Linked DNA regions of Callithrix jacchus. The protein of the gene in region 6 binds, or shares a complex with, the protein of the main gene of each other region. Links are inferred from orthologs where the notes say so. Each region holds a gene or a part of one and is shown on either strand. Other genes may lie near its edges.

What was found.
Region 1: the proteins of RAB11A (region 6) and RAB11FIP2 are in contact, whole or in part, in a crystal structure (PDB 2GZD), measured with the Homo sapiens proteins. The link is inferred for Callithrix jacchus from reciprocal best matches to the Homo sapiens genes RAB11A and RAB11FIP2. Residues at the interface, in NP_004654.1 of Homo sapiens: Arg33, Ile44, Gly45, Val46, Glu47, Phe48, Ala49, Thr50, Lys61, Trp65, Arg72, Arg74, Ala75, Ile76, Ala79, Tyr80, Arg82; in NP_055719.1 of Homo sapiens: Glu478, Ile481, Asp482, Asn483, Leu485, Val486, Met489, Glu490, Pro493, Ser494, Leu496, Arg497, Val498.
Region 2: the proteins of RAB11A (region 6) and SH3BP5 are in contact, whole or in part, in a crystal structure (PDB 6IXV), measured with the Homo sapiens proteins. The link is inferred for Callithrix jacchus from reciprocal best matches to the Homo sapiens genes RAB11A and SH3BP5. Residues at the interface, in NP_004654.1 of Homo sapiens: Tyr8, Asp9, Tyr10, Leu11, Lys13, Glu35, Phe36, Asn37, Leu38, Glu39, Ser40, Ser42, Thr43, Ile44, Phe48, Lys58, Gln63, Trp65, Tyr73, Ile76, Ala79, Arg82, Gly83; in NP_004835.2 of Homo sapiens: Asp42, Ile45, Gln46, Leu49, Glu50, Asn53, Thr56, Ile59, Asn60, Glu63, Thr64, Glu67, Lys240, Tyr243, Leu247, Leu250, Glu251, Ile253, Ser254, Asp255, Ile257, His258, Arg261.
Region 3: the proteins of RAB11A (region 6) and MYO5A are in contact, whole or in part, in a crystal structure (PDB 5JCZ), measured with the Homo sapiens proteins. The link is inferred for Callithrix jacchus from reciprocal best matches to the Homo sapiens genes RAB11A and MYO5A. Residues at the interface, in NP_004654.1 of Homo sapiens: Arg33, Glu35, Ile44, Gly45, Val46, Glu47, Phe48, Ala49, Thr50, Gln63, Trp65, Gln70, Tyr73, Ala75, Ile76, Ala79, Arg82; in NP_001369276.1 of Homo sapiens: Ile1660, Gln1661, Trp1738, Met1742, Arg1745, Tyr1746, Ser1749, Gln1750, Glu1753, Arg1756, Gln1777, Gln1780, Val1781, Lys1782, Lys1784, Met1795, Glu1818.
Region 4: the proteins of RAB11A (region 6) and RAB11FIP3 are in contact, whole or in part, in a crystal structure (PDB 2HV8), measured with the Homo sapiens proteins. The link is inferred for Callithrix jacchus from reciprocal best matches to the Homo sapiens genes RAB11A and RAB11FIP3. Residues at the interface, in NP_004654.1 of Homo sapiens: Arg33, Ile44, Gly45, Val46, Glu47, Phe48, Ala49, Thr50, Trp65, Arg72, Arg74, Ala75, Ile76, Ala79, Tyr80, Arg82; in NP_055515.1 of Homo sapiens: Asn731, Phe732, Gln735, Ile738, Asp739, Arg740, Ile742, Val743, Met746, Glu747, Pro750, Ser751, Leu753, Glu754, Val755, Lys756.
Region 5: the proteins of RAB11A (region 6) and MYO5B are in contact, whole or in part, in a crystal structure (PDB 4LX0), measured with the Homo sapiens proteins. The link is inferred for Callithrix jacchus from reciprocal best matches to the Homo sapiens genes RAB11A and MYO5B. Residues at the interface, in NP_004654.1 of Homo sapiens: Leu11, Lys13, Arg33, Glu35, Ile44, Gly45, Val46, Glu47, Phe48, Ala49, Thr50, Gln63, Trp65, Glu71, Arg72, Tyr73, Arg74, Ala75, Ile76, Thr77, Ala79, Tyr80, Arg82, Gly83; in NP_001073936.1 of Homo sapiens: Ile1627, Gln1628, Gly1629, Leu1630, Trp1706, Met1710, Arg1713, Tyr1714, Ser1717, Gln1718, Glu1721, Arg1724, Gln1745, Leu1747, Gln1748, Leu1749, Lys1750, Lys1751, Glu1755, Ala1759, Leu1763, Tyr1779, Glu1786.

The regions. Positions count from the first base shown.
Region 1 is NC_133513.1:110,981,909-110,986,206, forward strand, and holds the start of RAB11FIP2 (rab11 family-interacting protein 2), read right to left. Parts: upstream 2,801-4,298; 5' UTR 2,019-2,800; coding exon 1,666-2,018; intron 1-1,665. UniProt on the Homo sapiens protein: A Rab11 effector binding preferentially phosphatidylinositol 3,4,5-trisphosphate (PtdInsP3) and phosphatidic acid (PA) and acting in the regulation of the transport of vesicles from the endosomal recycling compartment (ERC) to the plasma membrane.
Region 2 is NC_133518.1:54,072,434-54,074,778, forward strand, and holds part of SH3BP5 (SH3 domain-binding protein 5), read right to left. Parts: intron 2,251-2,345; coding exon 2,031-2,250; intron 376-2,030; coding exon 115-375; intron 1-114. UniProt on the Homo sapiens protein: Functions as a guanine nucleotide exchange factor (GEF) with specificity for RAB11A and RAB25. Inhibits the auto- and transphosphorylation activity of BTK. Plays a negative regulatory role in BTK-related cytoplasmic signaling in B-cells.
Region 3 is NC_133509.1:40,063,488-40,066,987, forward strand, and holds part of MYO5A (unconventional myosin-Va), read right to left. Parts: intron 2,569-3,500; coding exon 2,357-2,568; intron 1,476-2,356; coding exon 1,319-1,475; intron 1-1,318. UniProt on the Homo sapiens protein: Processive actin-based motor that can move in large steps approximating the 36-nm pseudo-repeat of the actin filament. Can hydrolyze ATP in the presence of actin, which is essential for its function as a motor protein. Involved in melanosome transport.
Region 4 is NC_133513.1:2,679,903-2,684,111, reverse strand, and holds the start of RAB11FIP3 (rab11 family-interacting protein 3), read right to left. Parts: upstream 2,801-4,209; 5' UTR 2,677-2,800; coding exon 2,008-2,676; intron 583-2,007; exon of another isoform or gene 448-582; intron 34-447; exon of another isoform or gene 1-33. UniProt on the Homo sapiens protein: Downstream effector molecule for Rab11 GTPase which is involved in endocytic trafficking, cytokinesis and intracellular ciliogenesis by participating in membrane delivery. Recruited by Rab11 to endosomes where it links Rab11 to dynein motor complex.
Region 5 is NC_133514.1:93,367,797-93,371,857, forward strand, and holds the start of MYO5B (unconventional myosin-Vb), read right to left. Parts: upstream 2,801-4,061; 5' UTR 2,514-2,800; coding exon 2,487-2,513; intron 2,172-2,486; exon of another isoform or gene 1,895-2,171; intron 1-1,894. UniProt on the Homo sapiens protein: May be involved in vesicular trafficking via its association with the CART complex. The CART complex is necessary for efficient transferrin receptor recycling but not for EGFR degradation.
Region 6 is NC_133509.1:12,876,713-12,880,680, forward strand, and holds the start of RAB11A (ras-related protein Rab-11A), read left to right. Parts: upstream 1-1,168; 5' UTR 1,169-1,271; coding exon 1,272-1,311; intron 1,312-3,968. UniProt on the Homo sapiens protein: The small GTPases Rab are key regulators of intracellular membrane trafficking, from the formation of transport vesicles to their fusion with membranes.

The DNA.
Region 1 (4,298 bases), on a different chromosome or scaffold from region 6:
CAGGAGTAAAACTAGAAGAAACTGCAAAAGATTATTTCATCCTCAGACTCTTTGGGTTAACATTTGGGCCTATTTTCACTTGGAAAAGTTATGTTTCAGAGGTCTGAAATACATGATCCATTAACATTAAAGTACTATAAATCAAGGGAGAAATTCGATGTTGTAATATACTTAATGGTTTACATTCAAAACACTTTAAATATTTACTAAGTGTCACCCAAAATTGGCAATTTGAAACAGATTATTTGGTAATGATCCATTTTTCACTTTCAATTTGATAAAGAATCCCTCGGAGGAAACTGAATGCTACTCTTTAGGTATCAAATAATTTTACTATTCAAATCACTGATATATATTCAACTTTACACTTCTTAAAAAACTTTCTCCTTCTAAAATATTTTAATCTCAATTAAATATTATCCTTTTTCCTCTTGCATTCCCAGAGGAAAGTGTAGAGATCTCTCTACACTTTTATTCTACATATATTAGATCTTAGGTAATGACTTGATTTAAAATGAAACAAAAAACTACCATCAAGAGAAGCCTAAGAGCAGAAATGTAAAGAGAAGAACAAGAGATAGCTGCTTTAAAAATGTCAGGAATTAACACAACCTTGAAGAAAAATATCATTATAAGACAGTTTTTAAAAGAGTAAATAAATTCATTTATGACTGAATGAAACACCAACACTATTTTGAAAATGGAAAGTCCTAAGAAGTTCAACCAGTATTTTTCTCTCATTAATTTCATTAATATTAATGTTCTTTTAAGTTTAAGGAGGGGGTGAATATACCTATCTCTAAAAGCATATATTTTTTTTCAATTTAAGACACAATATCCTAGTGTTAATTTATATTATGATTTTTTACATTAAAATATATCTAACTCAAGCTCAAAAGTTATGCTGAAGAGGCCACTGAAGATGTCATCGAATCATTTCATCACAAGAATTTATCATTGTCTCCAATCCTACAGCATTTAATATGGTCTAAACACAATAGCTTTGCAAAACCAATTCCGAGGTAATACAATAGCTCTGATCTAATCGCAAATTCAAAGGAAAATGTTAGTGCATTTGAAGTTGAGGATGTTGTTACCTACTTTTAAAACTTTCTTTTCTTCTAACAGGTATGAACTCCCATCAAGGCGTACTGCCCCTGAAAATGGCTGAGCTAAAATAAAGGCTGTGTTTATAATGTTGAAATGAAATACTGAGTTCTAAACCTGGTAATTTATCTTCTGACAGCTACAAAGTGCAACACATAAACATTTCATTGGCAAATTTAATTTCTGATCTTCCATTTCATTGATAATTGTAAAGTTTAAAATCCATAACAATTTATACGAAGTTCTAGTTGGTCAATACTGTGACCCAGTCCTCTTATACTGAAACAATGTTAATTTACTTAAAATCCACCGCAGAATACTCAATCTGACAGATGTTTACCTCTAACAGAAATAGCTGGATTATAAATGATTCCATTTAAAAAATATTTCACCACGAGTGCTATTTTTACTTCAGATTCATGCAAATATGGTGCTTAAAACTGGGTCATATTTCAGTCCGAAAACCAACGCCCGAAGTATGCGGATAATTTCCAGGAACAGAAAACCCATAAATAAGACATAAACTCCCCCAAATTTAAAATAAATTACATAACTTACTCTGTTTTCCTTCTTTGTTTGTCCTCAAAGACGTCATTGAGATTGATTGCCACCTGCCCTAAAAATTTATCCAGACCCACCAGGGACCTGTGCATGACTATAAGGAAAAGAATGTATTTATCTGGATTCCCCTGCATTAGCAATCCAGGTAGCTCAAAAGAGGCCTCCTCCTTCCAGACTGGCTCAAGGGTTTTCTCAGCTACAGAGGTGGAGTACTTTTCCTTGCCCAGCTGAATTATAGTGTATGTGTCATTGGTGCCACTTTTGCCTTTTGGCTTTAGATCTTTGGCTTGGAGCACTGTGACCTGCACGTGGGTTGGAAACCACTTTTGGGCTTGCTCGGACAGCATCATCCTGTCCTGTTTCTCTGCACACGAGTTCACACGCACAGGCAGTGCCCCTCCCGGAGGGAGAGCCTAATTCCTTAATCACTGCATCCTAAGGGCACTTAACGGAGACCGGCGGGCTCAGGGCTCCCCGACTTCCCTAAGGCCGATGTCAAAACGCCTCTCGGGGGCAGCCCAGGGGCACGGCCGCTCCGAGGGTCCCCTTTCGTCAGGAGAAACACAGGGACCCACCATCACCTGGCCGCGCCGTGAAGGCCTCCGCGCGAACCCCCGCTCCTGGCGTCTCCACCTCCCCAGGCCTGCGGGCACGTGAGGCCTGGCCACCGGGGCCCGGGCGGAGGGCTGAGGGGGTGGAGGGAGCCCACCGCCCCAATTCTGCACCCCAGGCCTCCCGCCTGCCTCCTTGCGGCCGGGCAGCCTCAGACGCCTCAGCGCCTCCCGCCCGCCCCGCGTTCGTCCGCTGGCCCGGCCCTGCTCCTCCTCCCGACCCCGGTAATACGAACCGCCGGCGGCTCACCGGGCCTCGCTCCCTCTAGCAAACCTCTCCCTCCTCCTCCTCCCCCTCGCCTCAGCTCCTCCTCTTGGGCGAGGGCGGGTCGCCCGGGGGGGTGGAGTGGAGGTGGGCGGGGGACGCGGCCGCCCAGGCGACTGCGGGACGCAGGGCGGGCCGCGAGTTGAGGGCAACCGGCGCTGGCGTCGGCCTGGCCCGGCTGGCGGCTCCTAGCACCCGAAGGGCGGCTGCGGCGGCACTTCCGGGTTGGCTTTCTCCATGTTGGTATTGGGAACGCGAAGGGGCGGGGCCTCGAGGTCAGGGGTCAGCACCTCCCTGGTTGCCGTGGCGACTGAAGGCGCGCGACGCTGGCGCGACGGCGGGGACTCTGGGCTCCTGGCCTGGTGCTGCTTGGGCCTGGCCCAGTGGCGCGGGTCCTCGGGACCTGGGGGGACTGCAGACGCCGGCAGGTGAGCCCTGGGGAGACCTGGGCACCGCTCCTTAGAGGAGATCATCAAGGACCTGGAGACGCCCCTAACTAGGGAGAGACCCCTTTTCAGTCTTTGAGGGCTGGGAATCTGTTTTCGCTGTATCCTGGATGCCCAGTGCCAGACACGAGCAGGTCCATAAATGGTGTTGGAACGAATCAGGCCTCTTCACTAGCCGAAAGCAAACTTTTCTCCAACGTCTTTTCCACCCTTCTATTTTTGAAAAGTCTGTCAATTCACTGAAAGTGACATCCCCCACCCAGAAGAGGGGCGAGAGGGAAGCAAATAGCTTCCAAAACTAACACAGGGAGTAGAGATGTAGGGAGGCACTTGGCTGGCGTCAGAAGACCTGGTTCCAGCCGCGCTCCTGCGGCTATCACTATGTGTGACCCTGGCCAAGTCATTTCACCTCCCTGAGCCTCAGTGTTTTCACGAGTAAAAAAGGCCAGTTCCACATCATGTCTAAGACTCCATCACGACGTTAAAAGGACCCTTCTGAGGACTCACACTGTAGTAGACTGTGCAGATCCTGTGGAGACCACGCCCCAAACATGACTTTAGAGTTTTAGGAGATAATACATGTGCCTTTCCTGGCACAAAGTGGCAAAGAAGTCCCCTTTTGCCCCTCTCTTTCTCAATTGGAAGAGACACGTACTACACCTATTGCCTTTAATTCTGTCCGTGTCTTACCTTCCCAAGGAAATTTTATGTTTTGGGACCGCCTTGTCTATCACGCAGCCCCTTCATGGAGCCTAGCATGCAGCAGGCACTCAATTTATTGAATAACTTAATGCCTTTTTTCCCTTTACAAGACTAATTTTGAGAGTGAAACAGTATGACACGTGTAAATGCAGAGTTTTTTTTTAACTTAAGTGGCCATAAACATGTAAAATATCGTGTTTATTATTTTAAAGAAAGTTTAAAACTTCTTCATTCAAGGCAGAATTTTTCATTTCTGAGAGACAGTGTATGAAAAGGCCATGGTGGAAAACAGAACAAAATCGTCATACTGCAAATATAGCATATGAATCCCAGAGTGCATAGTTGTCAACTTTAAAGAAAAATATTCTTAGGGATTTTCAAACAGTACATTGGAATTGCCCCAAGATCTCTAAGGAGAAATAATTTGACACCTGAAACTTACAAAAACCAAATAAGCATCATGAAATCAAATTTAATTTTTAGAGTTTTTATACATTTTTAAAAGTCTTCATGTCTTTATTAAAGGTTTTAATTAAGCAAGAGACAATTATAATAGTGGATGTGTATTTCCAAAGAGCTTAAATTGTTTGATAAGCTTTATTAATG
Region 2 (2,345 bases), on a different chromosome or scaffold from region 6:
CAGGTAATGCAGCACGGAGGGCCAGAGGCCTGGCAGAGATACGACACGGCACAAGAGTCAGGCTACAGAGGCAGTGTGTGTCATCTGAGACAGGGTGAGAAGGCTGCTACTCACCTCGTTCTACTTCACATTCAGGGGACGAGGCCCCACTGCATTCACTTCGGGGGCCCAACACTGGGAACATCATCCCAAACTCTGACAGGGACACAGGGCTGGGCAAATCCAGGCTGCCAGGCCTCACAACCGCAGGGAACTGGTCAGGCATCTCAGACGGGCTTGTTGGTCCTGAACTAAAGCTGGACACAGACTGGGTTTCCGAGTCATCTTCAGACACAAAGTTGCTACAGCTGTCATCTTCAAAGGCCTCCGAGGCCACTAAGTTGAGAAAGAACACCAGTCACATGGGATCTGTCACCTCAAACACTCAGAAGTGCTTGCTGCTGCCAGGCAGCTAGACACAGCACAGGAACTGCAGAATCTGTCACTGTGAGTGCCTAATGAAGGAATGTGACTTCCCAAGCCTGAATGACCAGCCTCTAAAGCAGCTGGATCCCATAGCTATTAAGTGCCCTTCCAATAACCTTAGAACCCTGCCGAGAAATCAGTGTCACAAGACACTGCCTAAAAATGGAACATTGATTCAGCCACAAATTAGGACCTTTTCTCTACCTCAGTCCCCCAGACAGATCCTCATATACACAGGAAGAGGTTCTGGTCATCTGTAACATACTCCAGACAAAGCCAGCTGGACTTGGGCTTCTTTCCTATGTCAAGAGAAGCAAGAGCTACTAGAAGAAACAGGCCAGTATGGAATATCTGTTGGGACCTTTGCTGTATTCCAGGTAACTTCTGATCTCATAAAGGACACACGCAGAATCACCATTTGCTGCAAAAGACCAGAAGTCCTTTACAGTGCTCTGTAGCTGTGTGATTTGGTAGGCCAAAATAACAAGGCCCAGAGACATGCTGTTCCCATGATTTCAAAACCTCTTTGGCCTTCAGCAGTTTTCCTTCAGCTTGCCCACAATCCCACTCCTTAATAGAACTTTCCTACTCCATTTTTCCCCCTCTTCTCCTTAAAAACAGCCTTGTAGCATTCCATAAAGGTTTCTTATAAATGATAAGTACTGTAATACTGGAGACAGAAAGTGGGCTAGACATGAATTGAATCCTTAATTCCACGACTTGCTGTGTGACCTTGGTAACTCTAAACTTCATAATCTTCTCCATGCAGGATTTGAGATGATGTACATTAAAGTAACTCATACATAGTTGTTACTCAAATGATAGTTTCCTTTTCCTTTACCTTGAACCTGGCACTTAAATATTTGCTGAAGGAATTAAAGAACTTCTGAGGAAGGAGCTTGGGAAAGAGCCAAGAGGGATTATCCCACAAGTAAGGAAAATAAAGGAAGTATGCAAGGACAGTGTCGGGTGGGTTTTCTTGATGAACAGAACAGAAACTACATCCAGGGGCTGGCCCTGGGAAAAAAGGTCTCTCTGGTCAGATGCCAGTAAGAGCCACCATTTGCTGAATGCTGCTTGGGTGCCAGGCGTTGATTCTTGTAATTCGAATCACCACCCTACACAATGCAGCATATACAGTAGATACTATCGTACTCCCCATTTTACAGGTGAAGAAACTGAAATACAAAGGCCCTTGCCCACATCATGCACTAGTAATGATGTAATGGCAGATTTGAATCAAATCTGATTCCAAATTCCCTATTCTTAGCTCTTCTTTCCTGCAGGACTTCTCAGCCTCGAATGTTGTAGTGAATACTTTGACTCCCAAAGAAGAGTGACGGTGTAACTTTCCCATTTATTTGACCACAGAATCATGACTTTGAGGAACACTTAGTACCATCTTGATGAACACAGTGTTCCATAAAGCATGGGAAGCCACCAGAAGTAGGCTTCAGGCCTGCCCAAGTCTGAGACCCAGTGATGGCAAGAGAAAGTGAGGACCCTGGGAAACCAATCACACAATCTGGTATCTGCCCATTTACCCAGTGGGGCCCCTGACTTACCAGAAATGGCATCAGGCTCAGGTTTGTTCCCTGACAGATCCTCCACGGATGTGCTGCTGCCCTCAGCCCCAACACCACAGCCCCGAGGCCCCATGGCACTGGAGCGCCGCCGCTCATGGATCTCATCTGATATCATTTCTAGGTTCTTCAGGGCCATCTTGTACTCCCCTTTTGCCAGGGTCAGTTTGGCCTGCAGGTCATCCACAGTCTTCTTCAGTTGCTGGTCGGGAGAACAGGAGACTAAGTCAAGACTACTCTGCTAGCCTTAAGATGCCTTCTGAGTGACAGGTTCAGATACACTTTCTGCCCATCATT
Region 3 (3,500 bases), about 27 Mb from region 6:
TAAATAGAGCCTAGGTCACACCCATATACTTCCTGTGATTAGAGACCCAAATCACCCCATTAATGCTCCTTCTAATGGTGATGTCCACAGAGCTCTAATATCCAGGCTTCTATTTCTCACTTATTTGAAATATACCCTATAGGACAGACTCCAAACCTTGCCAAAATGAGAGATAAAAATTGTTCAATGGTCACAGGTGATAATTAAAATTACTCTGGTGACCTTGTTAATTATTGCTAGATAAAAGATTATTTGTCAAAAACTTTTGGTGCATCATACCTGTCAATACAATTTTAACTGCATTAATGTTATACTTTGTCTCCTCTTGACCATGGAAACTTCTCTCAAGGTTGTCTCATTCTTGGAATAATCTTCAACCTGTCTGTCATATATTCTACCTATTCAAAGTTCCCTGTAGTCATCTAAACAATGGGCCCCAAGGAATTTGGGTGCTAATTCCTGGAACCTGCAAATGTTAACTTATTCAGAAAAAGTGCCTTTGTAGACATGATTAGGTTAAGGATCTTCAGATGAGAGGATTATCCTGGATTACATGGTACAACCTAAATGCTATCCGAATTATTCTTATAAGAGGCAGATAGGAGAAGAGAAGTCAGATACACAGAGGAGAAAATGCTGTAAAGACAGAGACAGAGACTGGACTGATGTGGCCACAAGCACAGGCATGCTGGCAGCAACCAGAAGCTGCAAGAGGGAGGAATGGATTCTTTCCTGGAGCTTCTGGAGGGACAGCAGCCTGCTAACAACTTGATTTTGCCCCAGTGATAATGATTTTGGACTTTCGGTCTCCAGAACTCTGAGAGAATAAATTTTAGTTGGTTTAAGGTACCAAGTTTATGATAATTTATTATAGCAGCCAAAGGAAACTAAAATACTTTTTTTTCAAATTATATAAACAAAGAGAAAAAAGAAGTATATGTTTTTTCCCTATTGTTTTGTTAATAAATATATGTGATTATTTAGTATTTTAAAATACATTTCAGGCTGGGCATGTGCACGGTGGCTCACACCTGTAATTTCAGCACTCTGGGAGGCCATGGTGGGAGGACTGTTTGAGGCCAGGAGTTTGAGGCTGCAGTTGAGCTATGACTGCACCACTACACCCCAGCCAGGATGACAGAGCAAGATCCTGTTTCTAAAAAAAAAAATATTTTTTAATAAATAAATACACATTTCAATTGCTGGTTGTCTCCATACAGTTCCTATGTTTATTGTAGCCCTTGTGGTGCTCTATATAGAAGTGGAATTTGTTTAATATTAATAGAATGAAAAAACAAAGTTGAAAATAATGCCTCACCTTGCGATACCTATTTCTGGCCAAGTAGCCTCGCAAATAAGACTGAAGAACGATAGTGGCAGCTCGTCTAATCTTATACCTCCTGTGGACCACATACATACGCCAGTACTTTTGAATGATAGTTGCTGCCTTGGTTCTGCGCAGAAACTTAGCATAGCTGGCCAAAGAAAATAACAGTGTGTTGTCACTCATCAGAAAAAAAACACAGGAATACATGTTATAGAAATGTAAAGAGTGTCACTGTTTTAGGCATTAAAAGTAGTACCTCCATTGTATTATTCTAATAATGTGCATGCTAAGTCAACATTTATATTTACTTACATTTGTATAGCAATTTATAGTTTCCCAAAGTTTTTTTTTCATTTATTATCTCATTTGAGCCCTCCCTTACCCTGAAAAGCAGGATGGCCCACATAGCCAGATTTTACAAGAAAGTGAAATTCAAAAAAGTTCATTCTTTCTGCATTAGGATCCATTACTATGTCCTCTTTATATAACAGATGGACATACACAGTAACCTCACACTTAGTTATCACCAGCTTTCTTGAATCTAGCCATTACTAACGTACCATATTTTTCCTGAATCTACTAGCATATAAGTTCATTAATTCATTTCTACTTATACTTCTCAATTAAAATCAACCTAATATGTAATCACACTAAAGTGTACTTCTCTTCAAGATCATCTCAGTTAATTGCTCCCCCAAATTCTTCAGTGCAGTCATTATTAACCAGCTCATATTCATGACTATCTTAATTAATATACGATCTCCTCAAGCTCAATATAAAAGTATCAAAAATAAAAATTTTTAGGACATTAAGTAGGCAGCAGTTTGTAAATGCTTGGAAGATAAATCCGAATAATTCATAAGGCTGAGTGAATTTCATTCTATTTAGTTGTGCTATGAGTTAATTTGTTGTTCCTTGGAACTAAGAAAAGGTGAGGTGTTATCTTTTCAGGTATGGTGACCACTTAAAACTGTCCTTGGTTGGACAGTGAATTATATGGGCACCCTAATATGTCACCATGAGACCTACCATCGGGCCTGGTAGCCCCTCACATATCTCTGCACAGCAATGGCCGCCTTCCGCATGCGTAGGTACTTCTTCCTCAGCAGCCACCCTCGGATGGTCTTCTGGATCCGGATGCAGGCAGCCCTCAGTTTGTCTGCTCTCAGTTTTTCTAGATAGGCCACTTGACCAGCACGGAAAAAGATCTTTGTCTTACCAAACTGGTATTTGTCCTTGTCCTATTTTTGGAAGAAATTGTATATTCAGAAATAATAATCATAAAATGAAATTTAAAAGAAAAAATATCTAAAAGCAGAATCAGTAAAGGAATTATCTATCAGCTAAAACTTGGGCTATGTCACAATTAACTAATGAAACCAGATTTTTAACCCTTTGCAAGTTGAGCAAACAGAAGGGATTTCAAGAAAAACTGCAGTTTAAGAGTTATTTTCCAGAATTATTCTACCTGGAATTATTATCTGAGGCCCAAAACTTGGTTGTGGGTTATAGGCAGCTATTATTTGCTTGTTTGTGTTTTAAACATCTCAAGGAAATGGAGATGCTGACTCTCTCTGACTGACCCAGGCTGTAAGGATTACATCAGGCTGTATATTCCATGAGAAAGCTGAAGGGACAAAAACACCAGTGTGAAGAATAAGGCAGGAAGAAATGCATATGAAATAAAAAAAAACAAAAACAAAAATCCTTGAGTATTCATATTGAGTACATTTCTAAACAGTTATCCCTTGGCTTTATCAATAATATTTGAAAACAAAGTAACAAGACTCCATAAATATGTTTAAAATCCTACAAATTTCAAACTCCTTTTACAGAAATATAATTATTTATATTACACTGTGATTCACCTTATCTAGAAGAATGCAAATCATTAACCATTCCTGCACCCCAAAGAATGGAATTTATGTATAAAAATCATTACTGTGATCTGAAATTCTTTTTTTTTTTTTTTTTTTGAGATGGAGTCTCACTCTGCTTCCCAGGCTGGAGTGCAGTGGCGTGATCTTGGCTCACTGTAGCCTCCGCCTTCTGGATTCAAGCGATTCTCCTGCTTCAGCTTCCTGAGTAGCTGGGATTACAGGCACAGACCACCATGTCCAGCTAATTTTTGTATTTTTAGTGGAGACAGGGTTTCACCATATTGGCCAGCATG
Region 4 (4,209 bases), on a different chromosome or scaffold from region 6:
AGGCACTCAGACCATGCCCAGAATTGCTTCTTCCTAAGCCGTCCAGAACAGACAGAAGGAGTAATGTCACAGGAAATCCCTTCCACTTTCCCATCCTCACCAAACCCCGAGTCACCCAGCCCTTGTCCCCAACCTTCAAATTCCACCAAGTGCTGTCAGACTAAGGAATTCTCACTCATTTCTACTTTGTGATGACAAGAAAGCTCAGCCCCAAAGAGCAACCCCAAAGTTTTTCCCGTTGTGATCAATAAGGGAAGCTATGACAAAAGATCTTTCTCAAGAAAGAACTGTATGAAAGTCAACAAGATAAAGTAATATCACAATAGGGATATTGTGAGCCACCGAACTAAGAAGAGCCATCTAAAGCCTCAGGGCCAAAAGACCTAGTTCTACCCCTGTGAGGCTTTGGGCTCTGGCAGAGACCTTTCTGGGTTTCGGGTTTCTCACCTGTGAAGTGGGATGAATCCTGCTTGCCTAGTTACCATCTCAGAGGACTGCGCTGATGATCCAGTGGAAACATACCTGCGCCTCACAGAAGCTCTCTATCAGCGCTGGGTTACGGTAATGAAGAGCAGACGTGGCACTCTACTCTGCTGTACTGAAGCAAGAGTATGTTTGGGAGAAGACACGGCACACTAGCCAACAGCAACCAAGGGAGCTCAAGGTGCTCTCCAGCCCAGGGGCAAGAAGGAAACACAGCAAAGCAGCTGGACCAGCAACCACCATCCACGCTGACCATACAAGAAACTATCAGTGACATATTTCAGTGCCCATTAGACTAGGTGGAAAGCCATCCTGACAATACCCCAGCCGGAGGTAAGCAAGGGAGCACTGCAGGCACCTGTCTGCCCGTCTAAGCGTGAACTCAGCAAGGAGCCCCGATTTATCAGGACCCTGTTCTTGACACTCTCGAAGGATACAGTGGATGCTCAGGGGGCATATGGATTCATCAAGGTTCTTAATATCGTGACTGACACCCTAAATAGCAATGTGCCAATTTTAACACTTTTCTTACAGACCTCTTGGCTTAAACACGCATCTGTACTGGACACCCACGTAGCAGATGCCTGCATGTGTGAGAAGTCAACGACATACAGAAACTGACAGATCAGCACCTTAGGGATTTCCTACTAAGTAAAACGTTTAGAAGTGAACACTATTACCTGATGTCCACTGGGTCATTGGCAGAACACACACAGCCCTGCGGTTACCTCCACTTAAACTTTACTAAGTGCTGAGGTAGACAGAAACCACTCCACCTTGGGGCCCACCTTCCCCCCAGGAGCAGGCGCCCTGAGGACCGTGCGGACCCCCTGGCACACCGTACTGTGCATGGTGCCTCTCCATGCATTTCACCTCTCCTTCGAGAGTGGAGGTGGCCCTAACGGCGTTCTGCTAGACTTCTGTGTTTGCCACCGAGCGTTTCACATACGAGCTTGGAGACTCACTGCCTTCCTCCCCAAAGGCACCAAAGTGAAAATGTTTGATTTCAGGCCCTTCTACAAGCACTCACCATCTCCCAAACAATAAAAGATGAAACCTAAGTAGGAAAGATGCCAACCATACATCGTAAAGTAACCGTGCTCAAAACAGATCTCAAGGTGCCTGGGCAGTCTGGCCTCTGCGGCTTGAAGTTGGGTGGATTCAGCCAAGCAGTGTCTGGGCCCTCGGGTGGGAGAGTCGCAGGACGCTTCGTTCAGGGGCACCTCCATCAGGTCCCTGGGAGGGTGTCCCCAGGCCGGGAGCAGACCTCAGTAAGATCCAGCTGACCAGGTACTGGGGGGAGGGGAAGAAACGGACTCCCCAGAATAGAACCTCCTTTTAAGGGGGGGGAAGAGGGACTCCAGCGAATTCAACCAGAAATCCAGGGCCGAAGGGGTGAATAAGCAAAAAAAAAAAAAAAAAAAAAAAAAAAAGCAGGACCCGCAGGTCTCGACAGTGCCTTTCCCGACTGCAGGGGCCGCGCGCCCGCCCAGTTCCCACGCCCCGGCCCGGGCCACTCCGTACCTGCTCTGCCCCGTAGACCGTGGCAAACTGGACGAAGTCCTCGATGCGGACGAAGCCGTCCCCGTCCCCGTCCAGGGCATCGAACACGGCTCGGAGGCGGGGGCCGTCCTCCTGACTCCCCGCGGGCTCGCTCGAAAGGGGGTGCGCATGGCCAAGGTCCGAGGGCTGCGGCGGGGCCCCGGGACCCTCTCCCAGCGCCAGCTCTCCCGTCGTGGGCTCGGGGAAGGGCGGGAAGAGGTCGACCTCGCCCCGGGCTCGGCGGCCGCGGCCGGACCCCTGCCGGCGGAAAGGCGCGCTCTCGGGGCAGCTCGGGGGGCCGCACTCCTCCGGCTCCTCGGTCCAGGAGAAAAACGGATCGAGCTGTGGAAGCGGCGCCTCGAAGCAGGGCCCTGGGCCCGGGGAGCGCGGCGGCGGCGCAGGCGGCCCGGGATGCCGCGGGCTCCCCTCCAGCCTCGGGGCCGGCCCGGCGCTCCAGCGCGCCCCGCAATCCGCAGCGGCTCCGGGCGTAGGCTCGCCCAGGCCCGGGGAGTCCGCGTCGGGGCCGGCGGCTGGCGCTCCGAGGCGCAGCTCCGCGGGGCCCAGCACCGGCTGCGCCGCCCCCGGTCCGTCCGGCCCGCCAGGCTCAGGGTCAGGCCCCGGCGGCTCCGAGGCCGGCGGGGCCGACGCCATGCTCCCGAGAGGCTAGTGGTGCGGCGGGCGCGGGCGGCAGACAAAGGCGCTCAGGGCGCGGCGGCGGGCGCGGGCATCCCCTCGGCGGCGCGGGCGGGCGCGCGCGGGGCGCCCGGGCTGCTGGGGCTGGCGCTCGGGCCCTGCTCCGTCCTCGCCCATCTTCGCGCCGCGCCTCAGCTGCCCTCAGCCCGGCAGCGCGGCGGGCGCCGGCCCATGGCGACGGGGCGGCCTGGGAAGGGCGGCGAGGGGTCGGGCGGCGGGGTCCGGGGCCGAGGGGAACGGAGGCCTCGGAGCCTGTGGTGCAGGATGAGGAGGCTGAGGCGCCGGAGGTACCCGGAGAACTAACGCCGCCGCCGCCGCCTCCACCACCGCCCCGGCCCCGCCCTCCGCTGGGCCTGACGTCAGCACGTCCGGGCGGCGCCGGCCCCGCCCCTCTCCGGTTTGCTATAAAGGCGGGCGCCGGGAATGCCGCGGCAGTGCGGCGGCCGTCACCGCGAGGTTATTCTGGCGTTTCTCCTTGTCTCAAGCGCCGGACGTGGAGGTGCCCAGAGGCTGTGAGCGCGGGTGTGAAGTGACGTGACGTCCCTGAACAGGGGCGCGCTGGGTCAGGTCGTGCACAGCTGGGTCAGCTGCGGCGACAGCGACAGCGACCTGCGCCCGTTGCGGAGGGGTAAACGGCACCGCGCGGCGAGCGAAAGACGAACCGGCACGCAGCCCCCTTGGAGCAGAGCCCTTCCGGGGCGGAGCGTTCTCACGCTGATGAGACCGAGAGGAGGCGCACGCCTGGCCCCGCGGCCCTAGTGGTAGCGGGTGCTCCAGGAGTTGCGGGGCGCAGACCCGGCAGAGGGCGAGGCCATGCCCAGAACCCGCGCGGACCCGGGGAACGCAGGGTCTGAGACCGAGTGCGGAGGGGCCCCAGACACGCGGTGCATGCCCGTGGCAACCAGAGGCTCGCGCGGCCTTTCCCTTAAGCCTGTAACCAAGGTCTCCAAGACGCACTGCGTTGGGACGGGCGCGGTGGCCCATGTCCAAGCGGGAGGATGGCTGGAGCCCAGGTGTTCGAAACCAGACTGCGCACCACCGAAAGACCTTGTCTCTACAAAAAATAAGATTAAAGAAGACACCCAGCGTGAATCGCCCGTCCTTAGCCAGCCTCCCGGGCACCGTGGCTGCGTTTGGCAAGTGACTTCTGTGTCCAAGTATCCCTGTCCTCAGAGGGACATAGGACCTCAAACAGGACCACAGCCCTGGCAGCAGGCATGATGGTGGGACAGGCTAGTTAGGAGCGCGTGAGGCGCTAAATTTAGCCTGTCATGAAATGTATCAGGGAAATGATGAACTTGTATTTTTACATACCATGGGCACCAAGATAAGTTACGGTTTCATAAGCGGCTTCGGCAAGATCCAAATGAACGGAACCTCTGCTTCCAAGTGTACCGTCAGGAGCAGCGTGTTAATTAACTGAGTCATCTCCCTGGCAGAATCCCAGGGTACATGGGACCAGACTTTGTGAGGCTGGCATTGGGAAAAGAG
Region 5 (4,061 bases), on a different chromosome or scaffold from region 6:
CACTTGATGGATACCAGAACTGCTGCACCCAGATCAACTGGAGACAAGCAGAGCTTTCCATAGAAATTCTAAACAAGTGGGATCAAGACATTTCTTTGAATTTTAACAGAGGATCAAATGTGGCTCTCCCAGTTCAATACCAAAGCAAAAACCAATCAAAGCAATAACTGCCAAGAGGTCTAGTTACAGCAAAAGTGGACTGGTTCAGAGCAGAGACCATAGCAACATCTTGGGGGGATGCTCAAGCCATTTTGCTTGACTTTCTAGAAGGTCAAATGATGATGATATCTGTTTATTACGAGTGTCTTGAGGAAGCCAAAGCTCAGCAGAAAAACTCCCAGGAAAGCTTCACCAGAAAGTCCTTTTCTGCCACAACAGTGCTCCTTCTCATTCCTCTCAAAGAAGAGCAATTTCACAAGAGTTTCTATGGAAAACTATTAGGGGTCCACCTCACAGTCCTGATTTGCCTCTTTCTGAGGTCGTGTCCTAATCTTGAAGTTTTCCCACAAATGTAAGAGGCTGCACTGACATGCTAAAACTCCCAGGAACCTCAGTTCTTGAGGGAGGAATTAAGTGGCTGGTATCACAAAAGTGTCTTGAGCTTGATGGAAATTACGTTGAGAAATAAAGTTTACATTTCTTATTTTATCTTTTAACTCCATTTCCGCCCCCCCCCCCAAACCTTCCCCCTCGGATAATGCAGCAATTCAATATTGCCTGATAAGGAACTTTGTCACATTGTAGTCATATTCAGTCGAGTCACCCCTTTTACTTAGAAGTACAAGTTGTACCTCCATGCACCTTAATGTTACAAAGCTTCGGCTCTTTGAGTACTCAAGTTCAGATTTTTCCTCTGCCTCCAGTCTGAGCTCCTGATAACCTAACCGGCTTCAGGGAAAAAACTGAAAGCTGAGCTTTTAGGGATCCTCCCAAGACCTCGACAGCTAAGAGAAGTGGGGTGTCGTTCCAACACCAGGACTACCACAAAGTTCGCGCCCTGGCTCTCGCCTCCTCCCCCGGAGGCCGTCGCCCATCCCTGATCGCTGCATGGGGGTCCCCGGTGAGCTCGGAGGCGGTATCTGAGGCTGCGGCGGTCCCACCCCCCAGTTAAGTGACAGCCTCCGCGGCCACCGGGTGAGAGTGAACCCATCCCAGCCCTGTTTCCCTCCCGGAGGAAGATGAGAGTTGAAAATTCCTCAAACTTAGACGGGTGAACAGCCAATGGAGCCAAAGGGCTCCCACATGCGCTGGACAGCCGCGAGTGATCGCCAGGTAAGGACGCGGAAGTGACTGTTCCTACCCCGCCCAGACCTGTTGGCCCGGGCGGGTGTCCTGGGAATCGTACACCCATGCAACGCGGGTGCACATCACACGCACACAACTCTGCACGGAGGCATGTACACAGGCACTGTCAAACGTGTTCTCGCCGCCCGAGAAGACGAACAGGAAAACCAGGCATTGGACTATCCAAAACTTGTTTTCTTAAAGGGGCATGGGTCACATGTGTAAAGGCTTTTGCCCTCTCACTCCTGACTAGAGGTTGAAACTCCAGGGGTCCCGGGCGGCTGCAACGCTGCCTCGAGCTCCCGGAGAAGCGGTGGCTCGTCCCTAACTTTAACCACAGCAACTGCTGCTGAACGCGGGCGTCTCCGCCCCGGCTGCACCTGTTCCCGATTCGGAGCACTCAGCCTCGCACATCCCTTCTGACCTTGAAGGCATCCTGAAACTCACACCCTGCTCCCGATTCAGCTTTACTCCAACCCCCTCCCCGCACTCACTGAAGCCCTCTAGGTACCAGAGGGGCCGGCGTCAAAATGCCCATCACTGGCAAATTCACACCGCTCTTTCCTGTGGTCTCTGGAGATAATGGAGCAACCCTCTACCCATCGCTTACCCCCACTCGGTCCAGCCGCCGCGCCCTCACGCCAGATTGGGCCTCCTCCCTTTCCACCAAGTGCAGAACCCCACCTCTTCCAAGTCCAGGGTTCCCTATGGTGGGTATACGGGAGGAAAGGGCGCCTTGGAGGCGCGCCCTCGGGAGCCAGCGCCGCAGAGCCCCCAGGGCGGAGTCCACGGTGGGGACAGGGTACTGCGCGCGGGCACACCGCGGGGGACCGTCCGGCGCACAGCGCTCAGAGCTGGCAGGGTCGCCCTCGCGTTTCTGAGAACTCAGCTGGAGCCGAACCCGGGCAACGAAAGTAGGGGGCGCGGCGGGAAGAGGGCGACAGACCCAGCTTGGGGCTGAGCAGTGGCACTGCGGGAACTCCAGGAGCCCGGCAGCCGGTCAGTGCGGGCGTTCCCGGAATCGCCAAACTTTCTCCGCCAACCGAAGTTAGGGACGCCGAGGACTGAGACAAGGGGGACCGCAGGAGGGGTCTCCCGTCACCTCCCGCCTCCAGGAGTCGCGGGAGAAGGCGATCCTGAGTGTTAGGTGGCCCGAGCGCACCGCCCCTTCCCCGCGGCGCCTCCCCCGCGGCCGCGCTCACCTGACTGTAGAGCTCGCCCACCGACATGGCTCGGGCCGGGCGGGGCTCGGGCCCCGGCTCCTCGCTGCCCCGCGGCTCTCAGTCCGCTGCCGGCCCGCCTAGCGCCATGTTCCCGGGCTGGCCTGGAGTTTCTCGCTCTCTCGTTCTTCCGGGACCTGCCGAGCCGGCTTCCCGGAGGTTCAGCTGCCGGCTCGCTCCCGGCTCCCTCCCGGCGGCGCGACCTTTACTCCCTAGGCTGCGGCGCAGCTGCGGCCGGGCAGGAGTTGCGAGCGCCGGGGGAGGAGGCCGCTCGGCGCCGCTCCCCGCCCAGGTGTAGGGAGGAGGCGAGGGCCGGCGAGGAGGGAGGACCCGCGCGCGTCAGAGCGGACTGCCGGTGCGCCGCCGCGCCTCTGAGCCCTGCCGGTGCCCGGCCTGACGCGCCCTCCCGCGCCCCCAATGCCACCGGGGCCTTGGGGCCGGGGGCGGGGCGCTCCGAGCCGAGCTCGGGGACCAGTGCGGGCCGCCCCCTGCTGGACGGCGCGCGCGCAGGCACAGGTGCGCCCCGGTGCCCACACCTGCCCCGCCGCGCTCCGCTTCCACCAACACAGGGCGCGGCGGAGACACGCACGAACGCGTTGCAGAATAAAAGGGGACAGGAACTAACAAGAGAGGGGGAAAGAAGAGAGAAGCGTCTATGACTGGAAGGCCCCCAGACCTTGCCCTCGATTTTTACCTGGCTGTATTCAGCGCTTTCATTATTAAAATTCAGTTACTCTCAGATCGTTATTAAGGCCTTCCGGATATACATACACCAAGGATCTCCTCCAAACTGAACTCTGCGCAGAAATCCTTGCAGAAACGTGGGAGTCGTAACTCCTTCTGTAAAAATGCTAGCCACTTTCGCCCTCACCCTCCAAGCAGACTCCAGGCCACTCCTCTCAGGGGACTTTTGCTTTTCCAGGAAGTCACGTTCTCCCAACCCCTGTCTCTCCTACTTGCAGACTCCGGGTCCTTCTACCACTCACGACCTCATTTATTTGTGTTCCCTTTGCCCATGGCACTTCACTGCCTACAGCAACTTCAGCTCCTCTCCTACTTCCAGGAGAAAGTAGAAATTTCAACCAAGGGGAAAAACAAAATTGCCAGGAGTTGGGAGGAAGAGCAGGGGCTGTCAGAGGAGACACTCCCTTCTGAAGGTGACATCTGCCATGAACCAGGGATGGCCCCTGAAAGTGGTTCTCAACCAGAAGATATATCTGTACCAGCTGGGGCAGTTCAGGAGCCCCAGAAGGTGATTCTCAAAGGGATCCCACCTGGAACGCAAGATCCCGTTGTAATTCACCTGCGCAGTCCTTCACATGGGCGCCTCCATAATGAGAGTTACCTGGGGAGCTTTACGGGTTCCAAGGAAGAGGCCCCACCCCAAGGAATTCTGATTTAACAGGGAAGGATGGGGCCCGGGTATCCGAATTTTTAAAGCTCCTCTGAAAGTCTAAAGGATGGTACTTCCCCGGTGACAAATGCAGTGACTAAAGCTTGAGCAGCTCTCATTGGACTTAAAGTGAAACTCTTCATATCAGTGGAAAGAGCAGAAAG
Region 6 (3,968 bases):
AATGAAATACTTATGTAAAAGGACTTAGATTAGAGGCCTACAAATAGGACTCAAGTTCTTGATGAATCTTGATGAGGAGGGTGGGCGAAGTACTCTAAATGTTTGAAAGATTTCCAGAGAGGAATGAGTGACAAAAGCGCCTACCCTTGCATGAAGCTGGAGGTAGAAAATTCCAGCAAAAGAAATTTTCAAGTTTCATTGAAGCTTCTGAACTAAGGTTTGAGGGACCAGGCTAAAAAATAGGCAAAGAGAAGAGGCTCAGTAAGACAACCCCCACCAAGTAGCAGACAGTACCTGAAATGCAGTGGGAAATTTGTGAGGTCTTCATAGGCAAGGGTTAAGTTTTACATCTCCATCTTAATTCTAGTGAAGATATATCATAGTTGTTCAATTACTTAGTGAACAAAAATGTGAATTAAAAATGTCAAGAGGGCTGGGCACGGTAGCTCACGCCTATAATCCCAGCGCTTTGGGAGGCCGAGGCGGGTAGATCACGAGGTCAAAAGATCGAGACCATCCTGGTCAACATGGTGAAACCCCGTCTCTACTAAAAATATAAAAATTAGCTGGGCATGGTGGTGCGCACCTGTAGTCCCAGCTACTCTGGAGGCTGAGGCAGGAGAATTGCTTGAACCCAGGAGGCGGAGGTTGCTGTGAGCCGAGATCGTGCCATTGCACTCCAGCCTGGGTAACTCCTTGTCAAGAAAAAACTATATACATTGTCAAGGAAAAAAATGAAGCAGTGCAGGTTCCACCGAGATTTGAACTCGGATCGCTGGATTCAGAGTCCAGAGTGCTAACCATTACACCATGGAACCTCCACGAATGTGTAGCTGCCTTGGGCTCACTAACCCTTAGAGAACCCCGCCCCCATCCACAAACTCTCCACCCAGAGGCGGTCTGGCCGGTTCCAGCGAGCCGCTTCCGGGCACGGTAGCTCGAGAAATGAGCAAGAGGCCACTAAGACCATGGTGAACTAGTAATTCTAGGGCTCAATTTCCCCTCTGAGCTTCTTTTAGCAGCGAAAGTTTGAAGTCTTAAGCCATGCGACTCTCGCGCACACCGCCCTTCTTGAGCTCAGGGGCGGGGCGCCGCCCCCGGAAGTACTTCCTCTTAGAGGCTGGGGCCTGTCGGAAGTGGCGCAGCTGCAGGGAGGGGCTCTCCACCCAGTCCGGCCGCTGAAGCTCGGCGTTCGGGTTACCCCTGCAGCGACGCCCCCTGGTCCCACAGATACCACTGCTGCTCCCGCCCTTTCGCTCCACGGCCGCGCAATGGGCACCCGCGACGACGAGTACGACTACCTCTTTAAAGGTGAGGCCATGGGCTCTCGCACTCTACACAGTCCCCGTTGGGGGACCTCGGACGCTCCCGGCGGACCCGCCTGCCGGCCACCCCGGCGCTGATATAGGCCTGCCTCAGCCCCTCCTTTCTGTGCGGTTCCGGCTCCTACCCAGCTCGGCGTCTTCTCCCCGCTCAGACAGGGGTCCGCGTCACTTGCCGCTCTGAGCGACCTCCATGGAGGCCTTCGCTGGCCTTAGAGCCCCTCCCTGCGTGTCCTTCCCCCGGTGAACTGCCTTCTCCCCACATCGTGGAATTCCTTTCCCCGGGTTCCACGGCCCCGCCGCTCCTCCCACCGTCTCTCTTTTTGGGTGTAGCGCCCCCTCCCACTCGGTGTACAACCTTCCCGGCTCGCGTCCTCTCTCGAAGCCCCTCTGACGGGTTCTTCGCTTCCCTCCTTGCCTTTCCTTCGGCGCAGACTCCCACTACAGGTCTTTTTCTTATCTGCCCCCTTTCCTCCCTCCCTTCGGACTGCCGCCCGCTCTTAGCTTCGCCCATCCCGGGTCCAGGACCCCGTAAAATGTGAGCGGACCGGGGGCCCCAACTACCAACCCCTCCCCCGCCCCGCGCCCTCCACCCCCACCTCTCGCCGGGCGGTTCTCGCGGTCCTTAACCTTCTCTGACCGCTCCCTCCCCCACTCCCCATTTGGCAACTCTTTCTCTACCTTCCCTCCCCAAATTGTGTTTAGAGCTCCCGTGTCTCCATTGCGACCCGGGTAGTGGGAGGGAGGGTAAGAGGGATCGCCCGTCACCCACGCGCGCACTTGTCGCAGTGACCCGGCAGGCTGACATTACTTCCCACCTAGCCTTTCATTCTCTTGCCTTCCCCATCCAGTAGCACCCAACCCTGGGTAACTCTTGACTCGGTTCGCGAGAAGGGTTTGCGGATGGGTGGTGGCTGTTATCCTTGCCAGACCTGAAGGCCCGGTTCCTGAGCAGGAAAGGTTGTGCGCTGCACAAATACTAGCTTGCTTTATCTCTCTGGACTGGTTGCTTCCTGCTGCAACACTGGGAGGATCCAACAGGAAGGGAAGAGCCCTAGTTGGCCACATACCTTTCCCAAAAGGTTGGGGGTGGGAGGAAGTTGTGTACTCTTTTGGTCACATTAGATATTTGTTATAAGATATGGAAACATGTAGGGTCCTTGGCTAAAACATAAAGGAGGGTCGGGGTGGTTAGAAAGAGTTGCTTATTGGTTGAGTCCGGAAAGAATCCAGATAGTTTTTTTTAAATCGACGAAGATAAAGGGTACATTTTTCAGTGAGAAGAGAGTACAGTAGATGCTTTTTTTGTTCAGTGAATGCGCTCTCACTCTGATGCTCTTTCTCTGCTCCTGAATTGGGAAGGTAGCCATCAGTAGCGTGCCGAACAAAGATCATTAGCAGTGAGGAAGAAGCTATTGCTATTAAAGCTTTACTGTGGAGGGTGGAGTTTAAAGAGTGTTAAGCATGGTGACTGTTGACTTTGCCATTGGGTGCTAAGAATGATTGACCAAACCAGGGAGGAAAGATTTCTTTGCTTTCCCAGTACTTTGCAAATCTTGTTATGCTAGCCTGCTGTCATACATACTCTTCCTCTGACCCAGAATATACTATTGTATAGGGTGAACACTTTCAGTATCCACCCTCACCCCCATACTGGAAAGTACTTTCAGGGTACTTAATTCATTTTACAAATACAAAACTGAGGCCTGGATTACAGAAAGTATACTACAACATACCTTTTGCCGAAGGCATCTGAGATGATGTGAAATTATTTGAGTCTTTTGAGGCTTTGGGGTTAAAGGGAGGTTTGTGTTTTAAAATATGTTGTGGTGGTAGTATGCCACTGACTGCCTTTGAAGTAATTAATTCAGAACAAAATGGACCCTCGGGGTATTTCTCTTGTTTGGTTTCAACTTGAATGTTGGTTATAGAAGGTCTATTTATTTATTTATTTGCGACAGAGTTTTGCTTTGTCGCCAGGCGCCGGGCTGGAGTGCAGTGGCCGATCTCGGCTCACTTCAACCTCCGCCTCCCGGGTTCAAGCAATTCTCCTACCTCAGCCTCCTGAGTAGCTGAGACTACAGCTGCGGACGACCACGCCTAATTTTTTTTTTTTTTTTTTTTTTTTAAAGTAGAGACGGGGTTTCACCATGTTGGCCAGGATGGTCTTGATCTCTTGACCTCATGATCCGACCACCTCAGCCTCCCAAATTGCTGGGATTACAGGCATGAGCCTCCACGCCCGGCTGGTCTTTTAATTTTTTAAGCAAAGAATGTTAAATATTCTAAATTGGCCTAAGGTTTTTCAACTTTTTGATTAGACCATCCTTCTAACAACGATTGAGAGCACTGAGCTTTGGAATCACGTAGACCTCAGTTTAGATCCTGACTCAGGTCTTAAATTTACTTTGTGACCTTGGAAAAGTTCCCTTTTCTGAGTCTCAGATATCTCATGTATAAAAAGAAAAATACCTGCCTCTTAAGATTGTTGTGAGAATTAAATGAGACTGTAAACTTTTAACCATGAGGACTCAATAAATAGTAATGTGAAAGAAGTTATTGTGGTTTTGTGTGTGTGTGTGTGTGTGTGTATTTTGAAACAGGGTCTCCCTCTGTCCCCCAGGCTGGAGTGCAGTGGTGCAATCA